Canis lupus familiaris: one gene and its partners. The protein of the gene in region 3 purifies or fractionates together with the protein of the main gene of each other region. This does not show direct contact. Links are inferred from orthologs where the notes say so. Each region holds a gene or a part of one and is shown on either strand. Other genes may lie near its edges. The genes, in order: PHF12, MORF4L2, GATAD1, histone-binding protein RBBP7, SIN3B, HDAC2 and RBBP4.

Evidence for each region.
Region 1: the proteins of GATAD1 (region 3) and PHF12 purify together in Homo sapiens (affinity purification with mass spectrometry; 7 studies listed by BioGRID and IntAct, with this or other methods). This does not show direct contact. The link is inferred for Canis lupus familiaris from reciprocal best matches to the Homo sapiens genes GATAD1 and PHF12.
Region 2: the proteins of GATAD1 (region 3) and MORF4L2 purify together in Homo sapiens (affinity purification with mass spectrometry; 4 studies listed by BioGRID and IntAct, with this or other methods). This does not show direct contact. The link is inferred for Canis lupus familiaris from reciprocal best matches to the Homo sapiens genes GATAD1 and MORF4L2.
Region 4: the proteins of GATAD1 (region 3) and histone-binding protein RBBP7 purify together in Homo sapiens (affinity purification with mass spectrometry; 6 studies listed by BioGRID and IntAct, counting the BioPlex papers as one, with this or other methods). This does not show direct contact. The link is inferred for Canis lupus familiaris from reciprocal best matches to the Homo sapiens genes GATAD1 and RBBP7.
Region 5: the proteins of GATAD1 (region 3) and SIN3B purify together in Homo sapiens (affinity purification with mass spectrometry; 5 studies listed by BioGRID and IntAct, with this or other methods). This does not show direct contact. The link is inferred for Canis lupus familiaris from reciprocal best matches to the Homo sapiens genes GATAD1 and SIN3B.
Region 6: the proteins of GATAD1 (region 3) and HDAC2 purify together in Homo sapiens (affinity purification with mass spectrometry; 4 studies listed by BioGRID and IntAct, with this or other methods). This does not show direct contact. The link is inferred for Canis lupus familiaris from reciprocal best matches to the Homo sapiens genes GATAD1 and HDAC2.
Region 7: the proteins of GATAD1 (region 3) and RBBP4 purify together in Homo sapiens (affinity purification with mass spectrometry; 4 studies listed by BioGRID and IntAct, with this or other methods). This does not show direct contact. The link is inferred for Canis lupus familiaris from reciprocal best matches to the Homo sapiens genes GATAD1 and RBBP4.

The regions. Positions count from the first base shown.
Region 1 is NC_049230.1:43,045,776-43,048,012, forward strand, and holds the end of PHF12 (PHD finger protein 12), read right to left. Parts: intron 2,082-2,237; coding exon 1,943-2,081; intron 1,594-1,942; coding exon 1,259-1,593; 3' UTR 501-1,258; downstream 1-500.
Region 2 is NC_049260.1:77,644,975-77,649,081, reverse strand, and holds the start of MORF4L2 (mortality factor 4-like protein 2), read left to right. Parts: upstream 1-1,307; 5' UTR 1,308-1,373; intron 1,374-2,559; exon of another isoform or gene 2,560-2,770; intron 2,771-4,107. UniProt on the Homo sapiens protein: Component of the NuA4 histone acetyltransferase complex which is involved in transcriptional activation of select genes principally by acetylation of nucleosomal histone H4 and H2A.
Region 3 is NC_049235.1:17,996,099-18,000,176, reverse strand, and holds the start of GATAD1 (GATA zinc finger domain-containing protein 1), read right to left. Parts: upstream 2,801-4,078; 5' UTR 2,709-2,800; coding exon 2,436-2,708; intron 1,686-2,435; coding exon 1,560-1,685; intron 1,447-1,559; coding exon 1,388-1,446; intron 877-1,387; coding exon 798-876; intron 1-797. UniProt on the Homo sapiens protein: Component of some chromatin complex recruited to chromatin sites methylated 'Lys-4' of histone H3 (H3K4me), with a preference for trimethylated form (H3K4me3).
Region 4 is NC_049260.1:13,067,211-13,070,710, reverse strand, and holds the end of histone-binding protein RBBP7, read left to right. Parts: intron 1-1,891; coding exon 1,892-2,002; intron 2,003-2,744; coding exon 2,745-2,813; 3' UTR 2,814-3,199; downstream 3,200-3,500. UniProt on the Homo sapiens protein: Core histone-binding subunit that may target chromatin remodeling factors, histone acetyltransferases and histone deacetylases to their histone substrates in a manner that is regulated by nucleosomal DNA.
Region 5 is NC_049241.1:46,153,594-46,157,093, forward strand, and holds part of SIN3B (paired amphipathic helix protein Sin3b), read right to left. Parts: intron 2,559-3,500; coding exon 2,464-2,558; intron 2,229-2,463; coding exon 2,024-2,228; intron 1,896-2,023; coding exon 1,665-1,895; 3' UTR 1-1,664.
Region 6 is NC_049233.1:70,481,222-70,485,503, forward strand, and holds the start of HDAC2 (histone deacetylase 2), read right to left. Parts: upstream 2,801-4,282; 5' UTR 2,741-2,800; coding exon 2,626-2,740; intron 1,810-2,625; exon of another isoform or gene 1,723-1,809; coding exon of another isoform or gene 1,671-1,722; intron 907-1,670; exon of another isoform or gene 669-906; intron 1-668. UniProt on the Homo sapiens protein: Histone deacetylase that catalyzes the deacetylation of lysine residues on the N-terminal part of the core histones (H2A, H2B, H3 and H4).
Region 7 is NC_049223.1:68,034,542-68,037,562, forward strand, and holds part of RBBP4 (histone-binding protein RBBP4), read right to left. Parts: intron 3,015-3,021; coding exon 2,904-3,014; intron 1-2,903. UniProt on the Homo sapiens protein: Core histone-binding subunit that may target chromatin assembly factors, chromatin remodeling factors and histone deacetylases to their histone substrates in a manner that is regulated by nucleosomal DNA.

The DNA of each region.
Region 1 (2,237 bases), on a different chromosome or scaffold from region 3:
GCAAGGGCCCACTCTCTTGGATTCTTTTTTTTTTTTTTCCTCTTGGATTCTTGTATATGGTTGCATCAAGTGATTTCCTCAAGTCACCCATAAAGCCAGACAACAGCCCCCTGCTCCCCCTTAGCAGAAGCAACCCTAGCCCTTCACTTTCCTACACCTATATTGGGCTTACTTTCCTCCCAGACCTTCCACCCTCCTGCCTTCCCTTGGGGACTGAGTGTCTGGGAATGAAATGAATTCAGAGACTGCGACCAGGATCTTGGGGGAGGGTCCCCTCTGTAAGGGTGATGACAGGTAGGACAGACAGGCAGAAAACATAATTTGAAGTATTTTTGTTTTTTTATATACAGAATACAGGAAAGTTTCTGTAAAGTCTAAAACATTACAATTACTATGTACATTGGTACTACTAGGGGTGGGAGGGTGGGGAAAGGAGGGAGCCAGGGGTGGGAGGAACAGGAGAGAAGTGGCAAGAGAACAAAAAAAGGAGACAAAACAGGTTTACGACAAAAACGTTTTTGCTACAATAGACAATTTGAAGAAAACGCTCTACCACATGTAGTACTGTACAGTTTTTAAAAACATTGAAAAAATGTCATCACTGGATGTATTTACACAAAATCCAAATACACTTTTCCTTATTTGAAATAAAATAAATGGACAGCCAGAAAAAGAATTCATTTCTCATTTGTCCATAATACACAGTAGCTACCTGTAGTGCAACCGCTGCAGAAAGGGAAAATAACTTGGAGGGTAGGAACCACGGAAGTAGGGTGGGTAGCGATCTTTATATTAAATAAAACAATGATATTGTATAGATTTTGCTGTATGAAAACTGTATTTTTTCTTTTAATATAAAACTATTGTCACTGCCACAAAATAGAACAAGTTTCTGATTATTTTACAACGGCGGGGGAGGGGGAGGGGGCGGGAGTCGGGTGGGGAGCGGTTTCATGTTTGAGGACGTGTCCAGACCGCCAGCCTTCCCCTCCCTGCCCACGCTGTTCCTCAGCTCGGGTCTGCCGCTTTCCCATGAAATGTTGAGTACAAATGTATGTGCAAATGCCCCCTAGAACTTGAGAAAAGAAAAAGGATTTTTTAAAAAACAGTCAAAGGTTTTTCTTCATTTCATGCAAAGATTGTGGTTGAAGGGTTTCTGGTGGAGTCTAGAAAAAACCCGGGCTTGGTTTGTGTACATTTTTGCATCGCAGGAGTCTTGGGTGGGGCGGGTGGGTGGGCGCTGGGGCAGCTGCCCGTCCTAGGGAACGGAGTTGGAGCGCAGCACAGGGCCCTGGTGGGGCTTGAGAGACAGCTTCTCTGCCAAGACCCCATCCTGCAGCAGGCCGGCATCGCCTCTGGGCTGTTTGGTCGCAAACTCAGTGATGCTGAAGACGAACTGCAGGCACCCCAGCTTGATGTAGCTGCCGTGGTGCAGTAAGGCCGTGCCCTCCCAGCCGGCCCCACTGCCCCCAATCAAGCTCGAGCTGCTGGCTTTGCAGTTGCAGGGTCTCTGCTGTGGCCCCTGGGCCTGGGAGCTCATCACGGCTGCCTCCTCGCTTGGCTCCTCATCCTGTTTCTGGTGCCGGCGGCGCCCTGGGAAGAAAGAGGGCCATCACTGGGAGAGGAACGGTGAGAAGCCAATCCATCTGGGCTGTTTGCCCCTGGCTGGGGCTCTGTTCCTCCCCTTTCTAAATGCTGTGTTCCTAGGGCTGAGGGACACCAGGAAAGGCCCCAGGGAGCTGGAAGTCCTTAAGGAGGTGTATGTACCCATAGCACTGGCTTCTCTGTGGCTTTCCCTGGGCCCATGGGCAAGGAGAGCCTGGCCAATGGGACCGGGAAGGTGAGAGCAGGTCATTGGCAGCAAGCCAGAGCCACCCTGACAGGGGTCTTAACACAATGTGTCCAAGAATGGCCAGCTTTGTGGCCACAGGCTCCAACTTACTGATGACATTCTGCACTTTGGCAACAATACTGCTTGGGGGGGTTGGCGGGGTCTTCTCGGAGAAGTCACATGAATACAGCACATTGTCCACCGTTGTCCCGTGCTCACTGTAGTTTAACAGCTCATAATGTTTGGTATTCTGAGGAGGAGGAGGGAAGATAAGATGTGTGGTCTGCTGCGTGGGGCCTGGGGCTAAGGGGAGAGAGGACACATGGAGAAGGCTGTGCTGCTCTACCTCGGGAGCTCTCTTTCTTCCCCAGTCAAGCCCCCCCCGCCCCCTTCCCTGTTTCTTTAG
Region 2 (4,107 bases), on a different chromosome or scaffold from region 3:
AAAAAATAGTGAAAGGGTATAAAGGGGAAAGGAGAAGAAATGAGTGGGAAATATCAGAAAGGGAGACAGAACATGAGAGACTCCTAACTCTGGGAAACGAACTAGGGCTGGTAGAAAGGGAGGTGGGCGGGGGCTGGGGGTGACTGGGTGACGGGCACTGAGGGGGGCACTTGATGAGATGAGCACTGGGTGTTGTGCTATATGTTGGCAAATTGAACTCCAATAAAAAAAATAGATAAATAAATAAATAAATATAAAAACAAATCTCGGCCCTCACCCCTCTGTGTGTGCGTGTGCACATGCATGCATGCACACAAGTGTATATGATTGATAATTTAAAAATATTAATTTTTGTTTTTTTGAAGTTTATTTATTCACCCATCTAATAAGGAATTTGTGAGGAATAAAAGAATATCCATGTATAGGATATGACACAGGATCTAAAATATAGAAAGCATGCAAAAACCTAAGTATCAGTGAACATAAATCGTCTACTCAAGGTCTCACAGCTAGTAAGCCGGGAATTAAAATTAAGTCTCTAACTCCAAAGACATAACAAAGTGTAGCAGTACCACTACAAAAAATAGGGTGCAAACACACTTATTTAATAAAAATTTGAAGAGAAAAAGATCAGTTTTCAATATCAGGGTCCAAGTTCTTATCTGTCTTTATTGACTAAATATCCACCTACATTTTCCACTGGGGAGTGTTGTTAGCATTGGAAAAGATGCACAGAAAAGATTCAGATCTTCATGGGCATCAGTGCCTGGGGTCATTGATCAATTCTGACCCCACAAAAAGGCAAGGAAGAAAGGAAAGAGGGCTGGAGGGGAGAATTTTTTTAAAGAAGAAATAAGGAAAAACATATGAATCTAGAGCTATAGTTCTCTGTCTGGTTGGGCTAATTACAAATGTTAATTTGATTTTTCCTTAGCAATGAAAGATATACATGACCTCTATACATTGTGGAATTCAACAAATCAGAAAGGGGGGTAAAGGGATCCCTGGGTGGCGCAGCGGTTTAGCGCCTGCCTTTGGCCCAGGGCGCGATCCTGGAGACCCGGGATCGAATCCCACATCGGGCTCCTGGTGCATGGAGCGGGCTTCTCCCTCTGCCTGTGTCTCTGCCTCTCTCTCTCTCTCTCTCTCTGTGACTATCATAAATAAATAAAAATTTTTTAAAAAAATCTAAAAAAAAGAAAGGGGGGGAAAAATCCCAGGATTCCAGGGACTAACAGCCAATCCTTTGCTGGGATTTGGTGGCATCTAGTGGCAGATTCAGGAGGTATAAACCTCACCCAGAGAACTTTCTGGAAAACTAGCTGAGTGCTACTTGCCTGAAGGGCACTGTGCTTGGAGATCAAAACAAAAAGGTAAGAGAGCCTCAGCTTCTACAGAAATTGAGAGTCTCTATGTGTGTGTGTGTATGTGTATATATATATATATACATATATATATATATAGAGAGAGAGAGAGAGAGAGAGAGAGAAACTGAAGGGGAAGGTTATCACATACAGATATTTGAGGCAGAAAATTGTGTTTGTGCCAACAGAATGGCAGGCAACGTTGGAGGGGGGAGAGAGGATACTAGGGAACCGAAAAAAAAAGCTGCTCTTTGGAATTGCTAAGATGGGAACGTTTGACTCTTACCTTTTGGACGGCTATGGTTTAAAACAGGATTTTGGCAAGAGAAAAAACGTGGGAAGCAAGTGTATTTTTACGGTCTGAAATTAAATCGCTAGGAGAGGTAAAAATATTCCTGGCAAATGCTCTTTATTGGTTATGGTCGCCTTGACTTATTTTATTTTTCATTAGAACAATTTTCAAACTTCTAGAAAAGTAGAGAATATTCTGTACACAGCGCGCGTGCACGCGCACATGCACATACGCATGTGCGCGCGCATACACGCACGCCCGGATTCCAGGACACACGCCGACCCCAACGCTGTCTCTCAACGCTAGGGGCGCACGCCTGCGCACAGACACCACCTCCAACGCCACGAGGGCTGCCGCGCGCACATCCCAATCTCAAGGCCACGGGAGCTCGCCCGCGCACACAGAGGCCCCAACACCACGCCCACACACACCCACCACCCCAGCTTGTACACACATTAAAACACCCGCTCTGTTTTCTTTTTCACTCCGATAGTTGCGCAAGAGGTTGGGGGCGTGGCCCCAAATTTGACCTCGCGCTTCCCCACTCGCGGGAACCTTAGCTCATTTCCGCCCATCCTGTTTCCGCAGGCCACGTAGGCACTTCCTTTCCCAGTGGAAAAAAAAAACCCATAATGCCTCCCTGCAGGGGAAAAAAAAAAAAAAAAAAACTCTGGCCAGGGGAACTCTGGGTCGTGAAAATAGGCCACGTGAACACCCTGCCCTATAGACTTATGACCCAACGGCTGTCGCGCTTTTGAAGGGCGGGCTAAGAACCTAAGAGGGCAAGCGTCATTGGCCAGAGCCTTCTCTAAAGCAGAAAGATGATTGGTTTGCTTCAAGCCTTAACCGTGAAGAAGCAGGTTGCTAGCACCCGCCTTTACTGCGGCGAAGAGTCATCGCTGACGTGTTAGGCTTCGTCCAATCATTTGGTTATGGAACATTCTAAAACTTAGACAAGACGATTATCATTGGCTGGAGACCATAAGCCCGCCTCCAGGGTGACGTGTCTGCCTATGGATATCAGTTGCCAGAGAAACCTGGCTTTACTATGGCGGTTGGAGGGACGGCAGTGATCACACGTCGGCTGCTGGAAAGAACTGGATTCTCGTTTCAGGTTTCGGGGTGGGGGTGGGGTGAAAGGGTTTATGGTTTATTTCTATCGTCGCATATATTGACAATATTAAGTAGTGCCTTCACAGTTGGGCAGAGCTGCTTTCAAATTCCTACTCGCCAACGCCCAGCTTGGGCTGGCTCCTGTTCTTTCAGTGTCTCGGTTTCCATGTTTGTAAAATGGTGATAGTGATAGTATCTACCTCAGAGACGTGTACCTCAGAGGCTTGTACTGTGTATTAGTGCGTATAAGACGCTTAATACCAATCCTGGTTCCGAAAGATATTCGCTATTATTGTGGAGTGAAAAACCCGCGTAATAGAATGAGAAAAAAAACAAATTGTGTAAATTTGTTCATTACAGTGCTTTTTCTGCTCATCAGATTCTTCTTATAAGAAATTTGAGCTTTAAAAGAGACATATCAATCTTTGCCGATGAAATAATTTACTATTTGAGAATTAGCTCAAAATAGCGGGGATTGGAATTTTCCATATTGAAAAGTTTAAAAGGCGGGGGGTGGGGGAGATGGAGAACGAGAGCGATGAGGAGATGAACCACATGCGATGAGTAGGCCTTGTTTGGATCCTGATTTGAACACACCAACTTAAAAACACTTTAAGATGCATCGGGAAAATTTGAAAATGGATTTGATGTGTTTTTTTTTTTAAGGAATTGAAGTCAATTTTTTAGACGTTATAATGGCATTAATGGTTGTGTTTTCAAATTATCTTTATTTTGTAGAGGTATATAGGAAAATATTTGTGGATTAAGTAATAAAATGTCGGAGAATGACTTCAAATACGTTGATGACTGGGATTTGCTTCAAGATAATCTCAGCGGTAGAGGGAAGTGGGGAAGGGTATAGATGAAACAAAACTGGCCCTAAGTTAATAATTGTTTGAGCTAAGTGATGGGGCATATGAGGTTCCTTTTATTATTCCGTCATCCTTGGTATGTGTTTGACATTTTCTGTAATAAAATACATAAAATCAGCTATTCAGTGAGCTTAAAAAAAATCGGAGTGGGGGGAGCAGTGGGTGGGGTTATAGATAAAGCAAGATGGCCTTCAGTTGGTAATTGTTGAAGCTGGGTGATTGGTATAGGTTTATAATACTCTTCCTTCTACATTTTTATTCATTTGAAATTATCCTTATTAAAAAGTATAAAAATACAGTTACTTTATCAAAAATAAGGATAAATGTACAATAAATTTGAAAATATAACCACAAAAAAGGAAAAAGACACATTTGTACATTATTTATCAGCAGTGGTGTCCTTTGTGTGTGATAAAATGCATTGGTTGATGGAGAAAAAAAGGATCTCATATCTTTTTACTTTATG
Region 3 (4,078 bases):
AGTTGGGACCCTTGTCATCAGAGGAAATGTTCCAGGGAAGCTGAACTAAGACTATATGCAACTTCCTTGGCAGTTCTTAGTTATTTACCACCACCCACCCATTACAGCAATCCCTTCTTAAGCTGCAGTACATGCTTATATGTCACAACACAAAAACCAGGCCTCCCGAAATGTGTCTTGGTATCATCCTTGAAGACAGGGGTTGCTAGAGAAATAGCTACTGAAATAACTGCAGAGCATATTCTACCACAGAGGGAAACATGTGGTGATGCAACTATCATCAATCGCACGTTGACTTAACATGCTTTGTTAGCAGGTGTCTCATTTTAAGAAAACTAAATTAGAAAAGTCTTAAATAAATTAGGGGCAACTGGAGGATCCCTGGGAGGCTCAGCGTTCTGGAGCCTGCCTTCGGCCAGGGCGTGATCCTGGAGTCCAAAGTTGAGCTCCCTGCATGGAGCCTGCTTCTCCCTCTGCCTGTGTCTCTGCCTCTCTCTCTCTCTCTCTCTCTCTCTCTCTCTCTCTCGGTCTCTCTGTGTCTCTCATGAATAAATAAAATCTTAAAAAAAAAATTAGGGGCAACTATTTTCAGTAAGAAAAGAATCTGCAATCTGCACAAGAATTTACTACAGGGGGAATGCCTGGGTGGCTCAGCGGTTTAGTGTCTGCCTTCGGCCCAGGGCATGATCCTGGAGTCCCACATTGGGCTCCTGCATGGAGCCTGCTTCTCCCTCTGCCACTCTCTCTGTCTCATGAATAAATGAACAAAATCTTAAAAAATAATAATAATAATTTACCACAGGGCCCCTCTGTGTTTTACAAGGGAATATGCCCAACTTCAGAACTTCCTTTAGTGGTAAGGGAAGCATTCCTGTTCTGAAAGAAAAGAACACCGTACTGAGGTTTAAAAAAAGTCGTCTATAATGCACTGCCCACTGTGTATGGCCATTTTCCTCTTGTGTTTACAAAAATACTGAGAACTCCATGCAACAAAAGGCACTTTCAACTACTCCCCCGCCCCACACACACATCTTCCAACCATCTATTTTTTTATAGCAGCAGAAGGTTTAGCAAAATTTTTGATTCACATTCATCAAATTGATTATCGTAAACTTTCTGGGGCTGTAATAAACAAATGTGGAAATGAATGAGTTCCAGTATTATTTACTTAGATCTTTAAAGAATCAAAAAAAAAATTTCTTCCCTAATATATCTGGCCTTATCAAGAACCATAATCCCACCTCTTCCTTTGCATGGAGGACCCTATAAAATGCATTCAAGATTTATGTTTCTTTTTTTCAGACTCAAACCTTTTATTTCCCAGCAGGAAAAAAAAAAAAAAAAGCTAAAAAAATAGGATATTATTAACTATAAATAGTATGTATACCTCCTGCAACAGAGCTCACTTCCTTCCAGCAAGTGTGGACCACTCACTCCCCCAGGACACTGCGGAAAGGCCCCGGAAGAGCAAAAGTTCAGATGGGAGATGAAGGCAGTGACAGGACACACTACACACACAAGGCCATTACTGTAAAAGACACTGTCCACAATCATCTTACATTTTTTAATTTAAAAATATGTCTTCTCCCTTTTCCTTTGGTGGAAACTTTCTTTTCAGCAGCTGGAGCAGATTTGTATTTAGTGTTTCTCAGCCGAGCAGACCTTCTGTGAATTTCCTGCTTACTCTGTTACAGAAACAATTAAAGAACAAAAAAGATCAAAGTCGTAGAAAGATTGCTGTCCCCATTCAACCATCTTCCGGGGACTCCAGAGTAAGCCCCTTACGCTGACTGACCTTTCAAAACCACCCAAGAATGTGCCTTTTCTTTTGCCGCTGGGAAAAAGTACCTCCGGGACTGGGCTGATTACAACAGGGAGCGCCCTAGACAAGCATCTGCAGAGCCTCCAAAAAGGTGTCAACTCCTTACAACAGGGCCTGGGGGAGGCGTCGGAGGGAAGTCCAGGGCAAGGGGAGGACTACTTATTTGTTGTTTATAGTCCAGGAGAACTCTCCGACCCCAGGGAGCACGTTGGGTATGGCCCTTCCTGCAGTGGGATACTTACCGTGCTGTCATTTAAAACAAGGACACGATAATCTTACTTAGTAACATAATAAATTAACAGGGAAGTCAGTCCAGCAGCACGGCCCTATTTACGTGTGTACACGTGTGAGATGTCTGGTTACCACCGCGGATGTCACTACACTGAGGGGGGGGGTGGGGGTGGGGGGACTTCTGAAGGGTCTTAAATTTTCTTGCTCCTTTACACTTTCAATTTCTCACAATAATAGAAGGTGCTCCGCCCGGGCCAAATCTACACAGTCGCAATCCCCGCCAGGCGGGAGCGGGCGGGCCTCCCCAGCAGGGTCACCGCGCCCCGCAGGGACCGCGCCCCCCGGCCGGCCGGCCTCCGCGGGGGGGCCCGGAGGAGCTCACCTGCTTGCCGCCCCCGCCCCCGTTGCTCTGCGGAGGGGCGGCCGAGGTGCTGGCGAAGGTCGCCGCGCCGAAGCCGCCGCCGCCGCCACCGCCGCCGCCGCCGCCGCCGCCCCCCGTCCCGCCGGCCGCCCCCGAGCCGCCGCCGCCCGCGCCGCCCGCGCCGCCCCGGCCCGTGCAGTGGTGGCAGAGGATCTCCCCCTGCGGGCCCTTCTTCCACATGGAGGACGACGTGGTCTTGCAGACGCTGCAGGTGGGCTTCAGGCCCAGTGGCATCGTGGCGGGCTCGGGCGGCCCCCGCGGGCGCAGCGACACGGGAATGGCGACCGCCGGCTCGGGCCGCCCGCCGGCCGGCCCGCCACTCCCAGCGACAGGAAGAGCGGCGCGGGCGCCGAGCGGTCCACGCAGGGACCTGAGGGCGGCCGCTGCCCCCTGGAGGCAGGAAGGCGGCGACACCCGCTCCGCGACAGGCGGCGGCCGCGGCGGCCCCAGCGGCGGGAGGCGGGGCCGGGGGCGGGGCCTGGCCCGCGCGGCTTCCGGCGGTGGGTGGGGCCTGCGCGCCGCGGCCCCGGCCCTCTGACCGGAAGTGCCCCCTCGGGCTCCCCGGAAGCGGACCGTGGCGGGGACCCCCGTCTCCCTCTGCGGGAGGGGCGGGCGGGCTTTTTTTTGGCTTTAGGTCTGGGATCGGCCGGGGAGATGCAGAACGCCGAATTCAACTTGAATTTCAGAGAAACCACGAGTGCCATTTTGATATGAGTGTATCCCATGCACTATTCTTGGTTTCTCTGAAATTCAGATTTAACTGCGGGTGCTGTGTTTTTATTTGCGAAGTCTGGCACTCCTGAGGACGCCTGTACGCTGTTGAAGATTACAGTGTAGACCCCCCAGATACTTGTGCTGAATGTGTCGTGTCTATTGACGTTCATGCATTAGTTGAGACACATTTTAAAACATTTAGGATGGGGCAGCCCGGGGCGGGGGGACGGGGGGCTCCGCGGTTTAGCACCGCCTTCCTGATCCTGAGACCCGGCATGGCATCGAGTCCCACGTCGGGCTCCCTGCATGGAGCCTGCTTCTCTCTCTGTGTGCGTCTCTCATGAATAAATAAAATCTTTTTTTTTTAATTTTTATTTATTTATGATAGTCACAGAGAGAGAGGCGCAGAGACACAGGCAGAGGGAGAAGCAGGCTCCATGCACCGGGAGCCCGATGTGGGATTCGATCCCGGGTCTCCAGGATCACGCCCTGGGCCAAAGGCAGGCGCCAAACCGCTGCGCCACCCAGGGATCCCAAATAAAATCTTTAAAAAGTAAGAAAGCCTACGATGATGTCAAGCAGATGTTCCTTAGCTATTGGGTGGTGATGTTATCCCAGGTCCTGCAGCCTCTAAGCCGTAGGCCGCTGAGAGCATGAGGGTGGAAAGCCAAATAACTGATTTGGCCTAGGATGAGAGCATTATGACAAGCCAGCCCCCCTCTTATCCAAGTCGCTGGTCTGAACAGGCCTCCCCAGAGAAACGGGTCTCTGCTTTTCAGCCTCACTTCATAGTGTCCTACCTGTTTTCAGGATGCTGGATTTTCTAGACTTGGCATACTAGGAGGCATCTCAGTGAATATGCTGGTGGCATGCCTCAGCGAGAGAAAGAA
Region 4 (3,500 bases), on a different chromosome or scaffold from region 3:
GCGAAGGCAGCCGCCCAACCACTGAGCCACCCAGGTGTCCCTCTGTAACATATTTTTAGTTCTTAGGGCAGTACTAAGTCTTGGTACACTTGGGCTTTGCCCACTACTTTTAAAAGGTAAGGGCGGCCCTGGAAGGCAAGCCCTAGGAGATGCTCACTAAACTCTCATGTTGCACAGACATCCCGAGATCCCCTTACTCCTTGTCCAGCATGTTACCATGTCAGACGGCAGTGGACAGAAAGTGACGAGGGTATGACGACAAGCCAGCACGTTCTGTGCACCACTGATGAAGGAATAGCATTTCTCAATAAATTAGACAGATGACAGCACCTAAATGGTTTATTCTCCATTGAGTGACTTAATCTGAAAAGTCCGTTTTGTGAGGCACGGCTTCATAGTTTTATTTTCTAGCTGAGGTGCTGCTGTCAGCTGTTTTTGTCCAGCTGTTTGCACTTTTTACTTTGGTAAAAACTTTATTGAGCTAGAACTCTCATACCATATAGTTCACCTATTTAAAGGCTATAATTCAAAGGTTTTTGGTCTATTCACAGAATTGTACAGCCGTCGCCACAAATCCATTTTAGAACATTTCCTTCCCCTTAAAAAGGAACTGTCTACTCTTGACCACCTCCCAGTCTGCTTCTTTCCTCAGTCCCCAGCAACCAGTGATCTGCTTTGTGTCTCTAGGTTTGCGTATTCTAGATAGTTAATAGAAATGTAATATAAAGTGGTCTTTTGTGACTGATTCTTGTACTTTGCGTAATGTTTTCAAGGTCTCTAGCTATTTTTGGATACCCTTTATATTACAGTTAACAATTTTTTTGGTCCTTGACGAGATCCACTAGGATTTTGTTCCTTTCACAGGAGAGCCTGAAATCAAGGGATACTTACTTGTAGTGAACTGGATGCTAAGTATAATTTTAGTATAACAATATCTTGATTTGAGGACTCCTTATATATTCCAAGGCTTATGGTCTTAATATATTTTCCCTTATGTCCCCCTTAACGATTCTGGAAAGCTGTTCTATCATTTTTAAACTGGGGGGAAAATAGCTAAAAATAGTTACCTTGCATGTAACTTATTTGTCATCCTCAGTCAAATCAGACTTTGTCAGGAAGTAGGAGTTCTCTGTCCAAAATCGTGTATTCATACTGTCCCTATGAGAATGGTTTCTTCCCATTGCTAATTCTGAGGTAAGGAAAGCCCAGTGCCTTCCCATGAGTGGTCTGTGTCTTATAGGGAAGGAGTCTCTGCCTCCTTCATCATTTCATAGCAAAGCCCTCTGCCTCGCCTTTCTGGGGCTTTGCTTTGGACCCCTGGGTTGGTTTTGGTTTTTTGAATCCCCACCCTGAGTGATGCACCTTGGAAAGATGCAGGCTGGTGGGGAGGTGTGCCTTTCTCTTAGCAAGAGGGAGGAGGAGGAGCTCTAGAACTGGGAGACTGACTCCTCGGGTGGGCCTGTTTTGGACTCTATAACAGAACATTAATTTATTGTGTAGACCTAACTACACATAACTGATAATGAGGCTGAATTACTGTTAAATGTATTAGGTATGTCAATGGCATCATGGTTGTGTAGGAAAAATGTCTTTACCTTTGGGTGATGTGGGGTGAAGTACATGGGCGATGGCTCAGTAGGCGTGTCTGTGTAAGAAAATGCACTCGTGAACATGTTAGAATTGGGGGAATGTAGGCAAAGGGTATCCCAGGCAGTCCCTGTACTGTTCTATCACCTTTTCTGAGGGTTTGGAAATTTGCAAAATGAGAAGTGGAGAGGTAGATTACTGAGCCTGTAAGCCCCTCCCTTTAAACCTCAATTGTAAGACTGATGCTCTAAAAACGGCTAACATAAGATATGAAACGAAGGCTTTTAAAAATTCTTATTAACAGTTTATTCATGGAGGACACACCGCCAAGATATCAGATTTTAGTTGGAACCCCAATGAGCCGTGGGTCATTTGCTCGGTGTCTGAGGATAACATCATGCAGATCTGGCAAATGGTGAGCTAAAATATTTCTCTTTGCTGGATGAGAAGAAGAGACAAACTATTTACTGGAAATGTTTCTATTATAGATTGTGCATATTACAGCAAATCTAGAAAGGCAACAATCTGAAAAGATCTTTCTCCATTTTAACAAGTCTTTAGTTCACTATGCACCTGTCAGGTCAGGAAAAATCTGTGTCTACACACAGATGGGGACACAGCATCTGTTCCACTTTGCGGGACGGTTGTGCACGTCCTCGGCGGGGCTCTTGGCATCGCTGCTGAATGTCCAGTGTCTGCTGTGCGTCCACGCATTTGTAGGATACCGAGTTCTCGGATGTGGAGTACAAAGTACCTGATGTTTCTGAGGTGGTGTTTACCCTCATTAACTGCAGGGCCATTGCTTCATTTCAGTGATGCTTGAAATGCTGTTTGGGAAACACTTTTTACAATAGAAATACGTAGGGGGCGGGCAGCTTGTTGGTATAAAGGTGGAATTCCCTGCCAAATAAGAACGCCGGCAAAAAAGAAAAAAAAAACGCTGGCCCTGGTTTTTCCTCATTCAAATCTTGGGGTGGCGGGGTAGGGGGGTGGTGGCGCGTAAGGAGACTACTAAGTAAATTACTCTAAAAATGTCTAACACACAAACACGTTGACCAGTGAATCCTAAAGTCTAGACAGTTAAATGCTGTTTGTAGAGAACTTTGTAAAAACCATGGGGAGTTTTACCTGTGCGTTTATTTGGTTGTCCTCTCTAGGCTGAAAATATTTACAATGATGAAGAGTCAGATGTGACAACATCGGAACTGGAGGGGCAAGGATCTTAAAACCCAGAGTACAAGAGATGTTTCTATTGAATGTAATGCTACACGAATGCTTGGTTTATCAAGCGCCGAAAGGCATTGTATAGTAGGAGATGTAAGTGAGATGGCATATGGCGTTCTTTACCTTCTGATTCTAGCACTTTCAAGTGAGCTATTGCGTACTGTATCATATTGTAGCTTTTAGGGAAGAAAGGAATGTTGTTTTAAGAACGAACATCACTGTTGTTTTAAAATACAAGTAGCAGGGTACTGCCTTTGATTCAACTATTTTAAGTCCTTGTTTTCTCAAACTAAGTGCTTGCTGTTCCCAAATATGCAAGAATAACTTTTACACTTTTTCCCTCCAACACTTGTTGATTGGCTTTGCAGAAATAAAGTTTTAAAATAAATTCTGTTTTATTCTCTTAGAACCTGGGTAAGGAGAGCATGAGTGTGTGTTGTGTGTGTGTGTGTGTGTGTGTGTCCCTTCTTGGGAGCAAGCTGGTATGTGTGTGGAACAGGGTACACGAGAGTGTCCTAATCGAAAGATGGGGAGAGGTTAGACTTGTACACCTGGAACTACCTTAACACATCTGTTGCCCCTGCCCCATGAAAGCTTGTTTGCTTATACGGCAGGGGTCAGCAAAGGGGACAAACCAGGTTGGCCTCTCCACCTACCACCTATTTAGTAGGACCTGCCAAAAGGAATGG
Region 5 (3,500 bases), on a different chromosome or scaffold from region 3:
AATGTGCAAATAAATAGAAAAGGAAAAACTACATTCAAAACAGCTGCAAAGGAAGTACAAGCCCCAGAACAGAAATTCTTCAAAAACAGAAGAGACGCTCCCTAGAAGCATGCAGGGCGGGGCTCAGTGGGGTGTGGCCCGCACCCCAGGGCCGCAGAGAGGCACGGAAGGGGCCACGGGCTCCGGAGGATGGCGCTGGGAGGGTCTGGTTCAGGAATTCCGGTAAGTTCCCTTCTTATAAAACAAGGATGTGGACAAAGTGCCTGGTACACTTGAGCAAACATGGGCTAGAAGACCCTGGGCAGGGCACACTGGCCCTGGAATCGCCCAGACCCCGAGTCAAAGGCTTTGCAAACCTTGAGTTCCACAGGTAACTTCTAGAAACACATCTCCAATCCCCAGAACTGCATATTTGGCACAGCTCAGTTTTGGGAGGGTGAGGGCTGCTGCTGGGCAGAAAGGAGGCCGCACGGGGATGGTTCTGGAGCCCCTGTTGGTTGACCCCCTTCTGATGGTGCCAGGAGCCCGGCCAGGACTTTTCATGGTGCAGGAATTCTAGAGAGCTGGTCCCCAGCCCAGACTGCTTGGCATTCTTGGCACAGAAAGCCTCTGTAGGGCAGTCGCCTCAGCCCCTCATGCCTGTCCCCTGTCCAGGTGGTGGCTCTAGGAATGGCAACGTCAAGGGCAGACCTGCAGAGTCCCACGAAGAGGGCTCTCAACTGCCCAAGGAACCGTGGGACTTGGCTGCTGCAGAAGTTACAACCACTAGGAGAGCTTATGAATAAATACTTGTGTGCATATATATATTTCTAGAATGTCCTTCTTAGGTACATGGCCGCACCTCTGGCCCCCCCACCAGTGTGGGGCCACTCGAGCTCCAAGGGAGTTTCAGGCTGAGCCCCCTCCCCTCGGGAGCTCGGAGTGTGGCTGCCATGTCAACACAGGGTTTGGAGTCCCATTTCTTCCAGGGTGGGGCCTCCCATGCCACATCCTGACACCAAAGCAGAATCTCAACAGTTTGGCCCAAAGGGCTCCTCCTGCTTTCAAAGTGACCAAGGACCCCACGCATTAGCAGGGCCACACCCATGCCCAAACTATCAGATGCAGGCATGGTCCCAGCTTGGGAAATTTCCAGAAGCTTTTAGAACCATTCAGGAAGGACAAGCTTTTCAAGCAGATCCCCCAGGCCCGACTCCTTCGATGTTGGGGTCTCTTGAATGCCGACCCCCTCCCCCACACATGCCCCCCAACGCGCAGTTCATCACGGACTTTTCCAGACACTGCACAAAAGGACCAGTGGTGCCCTCACCTAGGGATTTGGCACGTGTGATGAAAGCGGCCCAGCAGGTGCATAAAGGCCATCACTTGCTCCTCGGCCAGCGTGTTGATCCTCCCCCTTCCAGCAAGGAGCGAGCCCCGAGTTCAAGTGCAGGAAGGGGTCAGGTTTGGCACGGGATAAACCCAAAGGAAGCAGGGAAGCCGAAAGGGATGGTAGCACAGGGCCACAAGCCGACACAACCCTATCCTCTAGAGCTCGCAGCCTGTAGCAGCAAGGCTGGGGGACACTGTGCTCCCCTCAGGTTGTTCATGAGAAGGCCCCGATGCACATCTGGGCCAGGGAAGTGGCTGCACCAAACCGCGCGTCATGGCGCCCACCGAGGGAGTCAGGGCGAGGCTGGGCGGCGGCTGTACTGCACTCGGTAGCGGGTCACAGGCAGGCCGTGCACGTGTGCCGTCTCACAGAGGGTCTTGCAGGGCACCATGTCCTCGTCCTCCTCGCCCATCAGCCAGTCCTGCACCAGGCCAGCCGCCTCCACTGTCACGTTGTCCTCCAGCCAGCGGCCATGCCACTCCTCAAAGTGCTGGTGGTGGCGCAGCAGGACCAGTGGTTGTACCTGCAGAAGGGGGTGGGGAGGGGAGTCAGGGCAGCCCCAGATAGCCGTGGGCCGGATCCTGGGGGGAAAAAGGGTGCACACCACTCCCAGACAGCCGTGGCTCCCAGGCCCCGGGCAGAGAGGGGCACCTGCTTGGCCCGGCAGAGGGTCCCACGGCGGTACATGTAGTCCTCGGAGTTGACGATGAACATCATCTTGTGGGTGCTGAGCTTGAAGCGACAGTCCACGTTGCAGGCGCTCTCGACCCCGACCAGCCGCTTCCAGGAGCTCTTGGCCTCGCCGCGCAGGGCACGCACCTGCTCACACTGCCACCTGCGGAACTTCTTGAGGTTCCTGGAGGCGAGAGGAGGATCTGCAGACTGGGAAATCCTCACAGCCCGTAAACGCCGGGAAGACGGCTGACTTCCCCGGGGTCAGACAAATGCAGACCGATGTGGTGGAAACCACTACCCTACCCCTTTGGCCAGCAACACGGGGAAAACCAGTCAGGCCCTGGTGCTGGGCCCTGCTGCTGCCGGTGGTGGGAGCGGGTCCCCCGGGAAGGAACCACATCTGGGGGTCCTCTTACCTTTGCAGGAACACGGGCTTCAGGAGAAAGCCCTCGGTGGGCGAGCTGGATGCCCCCTCGGTCCCCACATACTGCTCCACATACCGAGCCAGGTGCTGTGGGGACATGGGGAGACAGGCCCGTGTCATTGGAGGCACCAGCCTCTCACCTGGGACCCTGAGCTCAGGGGCTCCCAGGGATTTCATCCTCAGTTTCCCAAAGCATCGGGAGGGTGGCAGCTACTGAGGAGCCACCAGATGGCAGCAGCTCTGGCTGAAGCACTTGCCCAGAGCCACAAGGTAGACAGCTGTGGCATTTCACGCTTGGGTGGATAAGCACACCTGCTATATGACATCCTCTCTGCACCCGTCACGTGACAAGCTCCCCCAGGGAGCGGGGCCTTCACACAGAGGAGCTGGATCCGAGGAGCGGCAGGGACAGGCCAGGCAGGAGTTGGGGATGAGCAGAAGGCAGGGCTTGCAGGGGCTGCTCAGGTCAGGGGTGAGCATGGTCTGCCGTGTCCAAGTGACCCTCCCTCTGTTCACCACCTTCTAAAAGCCACAGGCTCCTCCAGACTCAAGCCTCACAAAACCACATTTGCTGGAAACTTCTGGAAGGAGCAGGGTGTACAGACCCCCACCTACACTTGTCTGGGAAAGCATCTGCTGTTGGGAAGCCCTGAGGCCCACAGGGAAGGATTCCACAAGGGGACCCCCACTGGCTGCAGTAGTGGGGAGGGCCCTACTCTGTGAAGGAGGCTAGGGGCTTAGAGGCACCGGGATACCAAGTGGAATGTGCATCTAGAGTGTGGGCCAGGGGGTTTCTCCTGGTGACCAGGGGCTGGGATCCAGGGCTCTGGGCTTCAGGCACGGGGAGTACAGGGCCACACGCCACAGGGTCGGAGTGACCATGCAGGCCATGGGCTCAAGGGGGATGACAGTGTTTGCAGCAGGTGGGAGGAGCCAGGAAGAGGGTTTTGGGGAAGGATGGCCTGGCTCTCACCTGCCTTCCTGCCCTGGACATGCACACTGGCTCCTGATGGGGCATGTGCAGTGGCC
Region 6 (4,282 bases), on a different chromosome or scaffold from region 3:
TATCTAGGTTTCTTATGTATCGTTTTTAAGTTTTTCCATAAGTGCCGCAGGTGGTCATTTTACATAATCGGGCGTCGAGATTCAGCCTTGCGGACCGACCTGACGCGACCCGGCCACTTTCAAGGTAGAATCGCACGTCTGGTGACCTGGGCCTGGAAGGTGCGCCCCCTCCCCGCGCAGGGGCCTCGGACGGACCGCGGGGCTTGCAGGTCGCCGGGCCGCGGCATCTCTGCTTCCACACGGCGGGGCAGCCGACTTCGCCGCGGGCCGCACGGCTGGAGCCCACCTGCTCACCTGTCACCTGCTCACCGGTCGGTCACCTGCTCACCTGCTCACAGGCTCACCTGCTCACCCGCTCACTGGCCACCTGCCCACCAGCTTACCTGCCCACTGGTCACCTGCCCACCAGCTCACCTGCTCACGGTCACCTGCCCACCGGTTCACCTGCCCCTTGGTCACCTGCCCACCGGCTCACCTGTCTGCCTGCTCACTGGTCACCTGCCCCCCCAGGCTCACCTGCCTACCTGCTCATCGGTCAGCTGCCCCCTGGCTCACCTTTCCACTGGCTCACCTGTCTGCCTGCTCGCCTGCTCACTGGTCACCTGCCCACCGGTTCACTTGCCCATTGGTCACCTGCCCACTGGCTCACCTGTCAGCCTGCTCACCTGCCCATTGGTCACCTGCCCACCGGCTCACCTGTCCGCCGGCTCACCTGTCCACCATCTGCTCACCCGCACCCCGGCTCACCTGTCCACCACCTGCTCACGGCTCACCTGCCCACCTGCCCACCTGCTCACCCGGCCCTCCTCGAACTTTTCCCACCCGAAACTCCCAGCGCCCGGCAGCGGCTTTCGCAAGCCCGACGCCCGGGTGTTATTTCCTGACCGAACAAAGAGCAACAAAGAGGTGGGTGGTGACCGCGCCTGGGCGGGCCCGCGGGGGGCACCTGCGCCCCCGCCCCGCCCCGCCCCGCCCGCCGAGCCAGGGCGGCCTCACGCCTCCCAGTCGGAGCGAGGGGCGCCCGAAGGGGCCGGCGGCGGACAAAGGAGCGGGACGGGGCCGGGGCGCGGGAGCCGGGGAGCGGGGAGCGGGGGCCCGGGGCCGCCCTGCAGCCCGACCCGGGGCGGGGACCGGGGCGGGGGGCCCGGCCGACGCTGGGGGCGGAGCGCGGAGCCGAGCGCGGCGGCGGCCCCCGCCCGGGAGGGGAGGAGGGAGGGGCGGGGCCCTCGGGGCCGCGGGGCTTTGTGCGGAGCCCGGGCCGGGGGAGCTGCCCTGACCCGGGGGGAGGGGTCGGGCCGGAGCGGGGCCCACACGGCCGCGGCGGGCAGGGGGGAGGCCGGGGGGGGGAGGCAGAGAGGACGCAGGGGGGAGGCCAGGGGGGGGGGAGGCGGGGAGGCCGGGCGGGCGGGAAGGAGGCGGCGGCAGGGGGAGGCAGGGGGGGCGCGCAGGGGGGAGGCCGGGCGGGCGGGAAGGGGGCGTCGGCAGGGGGAGGCCTGGCGGGCGGGCGGGCGGGCGGGCCGTCCCGGGGCGTCCCCGGCCCCGTCCCGTTCCTCCCCTCCCCTCCGCGGTCCCCGGCCCCGTCCCTCCGCTCCCCTCCCCTGCCCTCCGCGGTCCCCGTCCCTCCCGGCCCCGTCCCTCCCGTCCCTCCGCTCCCCCGCCCCGGCGCTCACCGTCGTAGTAGTAGCACACTTTCTTCTTGCCGCCTCCCTGACTGTACGCCATGGGCTCCCGCCGCCGCCTCGGGCTCGGGCCGCTCCGCCTGCTGCTGCTGCCGCCGGGCCGCCCGGTCGGCGGGGACACTAGCGCCGCGGCGGGCGGGGGCGGGGGCGGCTGCGGGCGGAGCTGGGCGCGGAGGCCGCGGGGCGGGAGCGGGCCGAGCGGGCCGAGCGGGCCGGAGCGGAGCCGAGCGGGGGAGGCAGCGGCGCCGACGCGCGACACTGGGGAGGGGGAGGGGCGGGGGCGGCCAAACCACCTCCGGGGGCCGAGGGGCGGCGGGCGCGTCCACGGCGGCCTCGCGGGGGGGGGGGCGGCCGGGCGGGGGCGGCCGGGCGGGGAGCGGCCCTCGGCCCGGACGCGGGGGGCCTGCGGTCGACCGGCGACGCGGCCGGGCAGCGGCGGAGGCAGCGGCGGAGGCAGACGCGGCAGGCCGGGCCGGTCGACGGAGGAGCGCGGCGCCGCGGGCCGCCCCCCCCCCCGCCCGCGCACGGTGGTTGCGCCCGGCCGGAGCCTGCGCAGTGGCGGCCGCCGGGCTGCAGCGGCCGCCGGGCCCCTCGGCGCCGGCCCACGCGCTCCCCTCCCCCACGGCGCGGAGCTCCCGCGCGGGCCGACCACGTGCCGCCGCCGCCGGGGGGGGGGGGAGCCCCGCCTGCACCCCTCGGGCCCCCTCGGCCGCCCGGCCCGCCGCGCCTGCCCCTGCGCTCGTTCTCTCTTCCCTTTTCCTTTTTGCTAGTTGCTCCGGGGCCCCGACCCCATAGGGGGACCTAATAGGGCCAGTCGGCTGCAGGCCGTACTTCCTGGGTTTGAAGGGGTGTCGAGGGCACGCATGTGCACTGGGGCGCACGGCACAGCCCTCAGCCTGTGCACTGGCAGCATTTGCACGGAGCCCGTCCCGTGCACGACACAGACCTGCCGAGACCCCAGCGAGCGCGGGGCGCAGGCGCGGTCGCCGCCCCCTCTGTGGGCCGGAGCGCGGATGGGGGGACCCGGGCCTGCCGGCTGCAGGACCCGGGTCCCGGTGCATTCCGTCTGGCTCCCGGACCTGCACGCCCTCGTGCAGCTGCTGCAGCTGCTGCAGCTGCTCCTGGCCGGGCGCCCGAAGGTTGGAGCAGGAACCCCAAAGACAGCGCTTGCAAAACTCATGGAAGTTGCAAATACTGATGCCCGATGAGCGAATCCACAAACATGCATCAAGCATGCACTTAGTCTAAGCCAACACCTTGCACGTGAGGCCTGGGGGCACTGACAATCTGCAAAGTAGCGCTCTCATCCCAACTGTATCTTTCACAGTCCCCCCCCCAAGTACCCAAATACCCCCAAAACACACTCTTCCAGGTACCCATCCAAAAAAAAAAAAAAAAAAAAAGCCTTATTGGAGCAGGAGCTATTTAGAGCCACTACCAAAAATGTCTTCTTTATTTTGCTCTTTGGCTTCAGAATCCCCAAGGTGTTTATATTTAAAGCAGTAATTTTCCTGGATCTCACCCCAAAAGGTTTCTAGAAAACTCCAAAGTAATCCCTTCCCAAATACCCCAAATACACTTTTCCAGGTACTCATCCAAAAAAAAAAAAAAGCCTTATTGGAGCAGAAGCCATTTAGAGCCACTACCAAAAATGTCTTCTTTATTTTGCTATTTGACTTCAGAATCCCCAAGGTGTTTATACTTAAAGCAGTAATTTTCCTGGATCTCACCCCAAAAAGTTTCTAGAAAACTCCAAAGTAATCCCTTCCCCACCCCTCCTGCCAAGTCTGTATTTTGAACAAGCGCTCCATGCAACCCACGCGGCTGGTAGGGGGGCAGCAGGGTGGGAAACATGGGCTCAAGGTTAATTACAAGATACTGACGTTCACAGTTTTATTCAAGTCCCAAAGCAGTTTGGTAGATTCTAAGTAGAAACCTCTATTCTCAGGACCAACAGAGTGAAGGCTGAAATGGGACTTTATGGTCCTCAAGAAAATCTCCCTGACTTCACCTACCTCCCGGGCTGGGGCCTGCCTCTCTGCCCTTCCCATCGTCTGTCCTGGGGCCTCCTAGCGCCCTGGCTCCATACCATGCGGAGGTTGCTCACGACTTCTCTGAACTTCTCTGAACTTCTCTGAACTTCTCATCAGAATAGAGTTTAACAAGACTAAGGACTATGTCTGTTTTGAATGTAATTACATCTCTATGCTCGCGACATGGGGCGAGTCGCTTAAACATTTTTTGGTCTAATTTGCCTTATCTGTAAAATGAGGCAGTATTACTTGAATAATTCCCCATGTGAATATTGAGTCCCTCGAATAAGAAAACATGGAATCATTTTTTTTTGAATCATTTTTAAACATTAAAGAACTGTGTGAATATAAGGGATTATTACAGGGATCCCTGGGTGGCTCAGTGGTTTGGCGCCTGCCTTTGGCCCAGGGCGTGATCTTGGAGTCCCGGGATCGAGTCCCGCATCAGGCTCCCTGCATGGAGCCTGCTTCTCCCTCTGTCTGTGTCTCTGCCTCTCTGTGTCTCTCATGAATAAATAAATAAAATATTCTTTTAAAAAAAGGGATTATTACAATACAAGTAATAATAAT
Region 7 (3,021 bases), on a different chromosome or scaffold from region 3:
TGACACGACTGAAGAGTTCTCCCAACTGTTTTTTTCAGGAGACCAATCCCATCCTGAGGCCTTCCAGAGGCCCCAAAATTACCTCCTTAGCTTAAACTCAGGTATGGCCAAAAGGGGCTCCTTAAAAACAGACTCCTACCACTTAGACAACCTTAAGGGTTTTAGGATCTTGGACAAACACTGAATATTCACTTGTTTAACAATTCTATTGTTCTTTTACCACTATTCTAAAAACACGGAGCAAAAGAACAAACTGGCCTGAAGATGATGTAGTTCAATATCCTGCAACATTCCACAGCAACTAAAATAGGTTTAATTGACAGGCTATCCCAAGGCAGCACATATCACCCTCCTGTCAGAACTCTTAACTTTAGGGGCACCTGCGTAGCTCAGTTGGTTAAAAGACTGCCTTTGGCTCAGGATATGATCTCAGGGTCCTGGGATTGAGGCCCATCTGAGGACATTGGTCTCGCTGCTCAGTGGGGAGCCCACTTCTCTTTCTCCCTTTGCCCCCCACCCCACACATGTGTGCATAAATAAAATCTTAAAAAATGTTTAAAGAGCTCTTAACTTTTTATATTAATTATCTATGCATATATTACAAGGAAAAAGGTGAGGTAGATTTTCTGTTTATATGTGTAATACGTACTTATTATTACAAATCGTAATAGTGATAGGTATATAAAGAAATCCAAAGGGCAGCCTGGGTGGCTCAGCAGTTTAGCGCTGCCTTCAGCCCAGAGCATGATCCTGGAGATCCAGGATCGAGTCCCATGTCGGGTTCCCTGCATGGAGCCTGTTTCTCCTGCCTGTGTCTCTGCCTCTCTCTCTGTGTATCTCATGAATAAATAAATAAAATCTTTAAAAAAAAAAAAAAAAAAGAAATAAAAAAACTCCCTAAATATACCAATCTTATGGCAAAGAGCCTCCTAAATAATTACATATAATTAAATTCAAGACTAGCTATAATAATATGAGGGATTATAAAATGCTATTTATTGTCCAACGATCTGCTTTTTTCCCTACTTCATGTCATGAATATCTTATGAAAACGAAGCATATTTCTTTTGGATATATAACATTTCAAAGTATGGATATACTATGTAACTTGTTAATCTCATAAGCCACAAAAACTCATTTTTTTTCTTTCCATTTCTTTTTCTTTTTCTTTTCAAGATTTATTTATTTATTTATTTATTTATTTATTTATTTATTTATTTATTAATTAATGAATGAGTGACACACAGAGAGAGGCAGAGACACAGGCAGAGGGAGAAGCAGGCTCCATGCAGGGAGCCCGATGTGGGACTTGATCCCTGGACTCCAGGACCATGCCCCGGGCAGAAGGCAGCACTAAACCGGTGAGCCACTCAGGGATCCCCTTTCTTTTCATTTCTTTAACTTTGATTAATAGTGCTATTCTTCAAGAGAGTTCTGATTATTTAAAGTATTTTTCCTTACACTGAACCAAAAATTTTCCCCTGGAGCTTATTCCTACCTCTACATCTACTTTAAAACACCAAAAGCTTTTTTTCCAAATCTTTTCATTCATCAGGCCACGATCATTCAAAAGTTATGCAATTAAAAAATGGTGGTAAAAATAAAAATTTAAAATTATAAAAATAATTTAAAAATTATTATATAAAAATTTGCCATCTTAATCATTTTTAAGTGTTCAGTTCAGTGGCATTCACCTTGTCTGCAACTATCACCACCATTCATCTCCAGAAGGCCAATGTTTCTTATATTGCTATATATTAGACAATTTAATAAAGATATCTTATTAAATTCCAAGCACTCGGGAAATTCAAAAACGGGTAATCAATTCCCAATTGGGGTAAAAGGGGCAGGAGTATTTTGGGAATCTAGTAACACTTCATGGAGAAATGGCAGTATGTGATTCTGTGCCATTGTGGTAGAAACTGTGCTAGGGGGATGCCTGGGTGGTTGAGCGTTTTGCCTTTGGTCCAGGGTATGATCTCGGAGTCCTGGGATCAAGCCCCACATCGGGCTTCCTGCCTGGAGCCTGCTTCTGTGCATCTCTGCCTCTCTCTCTCTGTGGGTCTCTCATGAATAAATAAAAAAAATCTTAAAAAAAAAAAAAAAAAAAAAAGAAACTGTGCTAGGCATGTTCACAAACCACATCAAAGGAATGATCATTCCCAAAGATTCAACAGCTAGCAAAGCAGGGAAAGCAGGAGGCCAGCAAGGAGGCTATTGCAAGAGTCTAGCAAGTAGTAATGAGAACATGACCAAAAAATCAGGGTGTGTAGTAGAAATAGGAAAGTGGGGTATGTAAGTGGTTTATCTGTAAGGTGAGTACAGATACAAGAAACAATGCATACAATGTAAAATCTGTTAAGTAAACTAGACTTAGAGGTGAATAAATAATGAAGAACTCGGGCAGCCCCGGTGGCGTAGCAGTTTGGCGCCGCCTGCAGCCTGGGGTGTGATCCTGGGGCCCTGGGATTGAGTCCCACATCAGGCTCCCTGTATGGAGCCTGCTTCTCCCTCTGCCTCTCTCTCTGTCTCTATGAATAAATAAATAAAATCTTAAAAAAAAAATTAATGAAGAACTCTTGAATTTTCAAGTTGGATGCGCTGGGGGGCGGGGGGGGGGGCGGGACACTACACTGGAGCCATATAGGAAACAGGAAAATCGGGAGAAAGGGGGAATGAGGAGGAGGAGAGAAGTGTGGTTTCCTTAAGTCTGAGATAAGCAGTGTGATAAGCAGCTAAAAGCAATGAGCAGGCACTTGAAAATGATAATGTGCAGCAAATGCTAAAATCATACTTAGGAGTAAACTAACCAGAGATGCCAGCTGTATTTGTAAAGTCGATAAATATGAAGTGATACTACATCTCATTTATTTAACTTCCCCCAAATAAATGACACCACTTACCATTTGCCACACTTGCATGATATTATCTTCTGATACAGAACAAATCACCCAAGGTTCATTGGGATTCCAGGAGAAATCAGATATCTTGGCAGTGTGACCACCATGAATAAACTGGAAG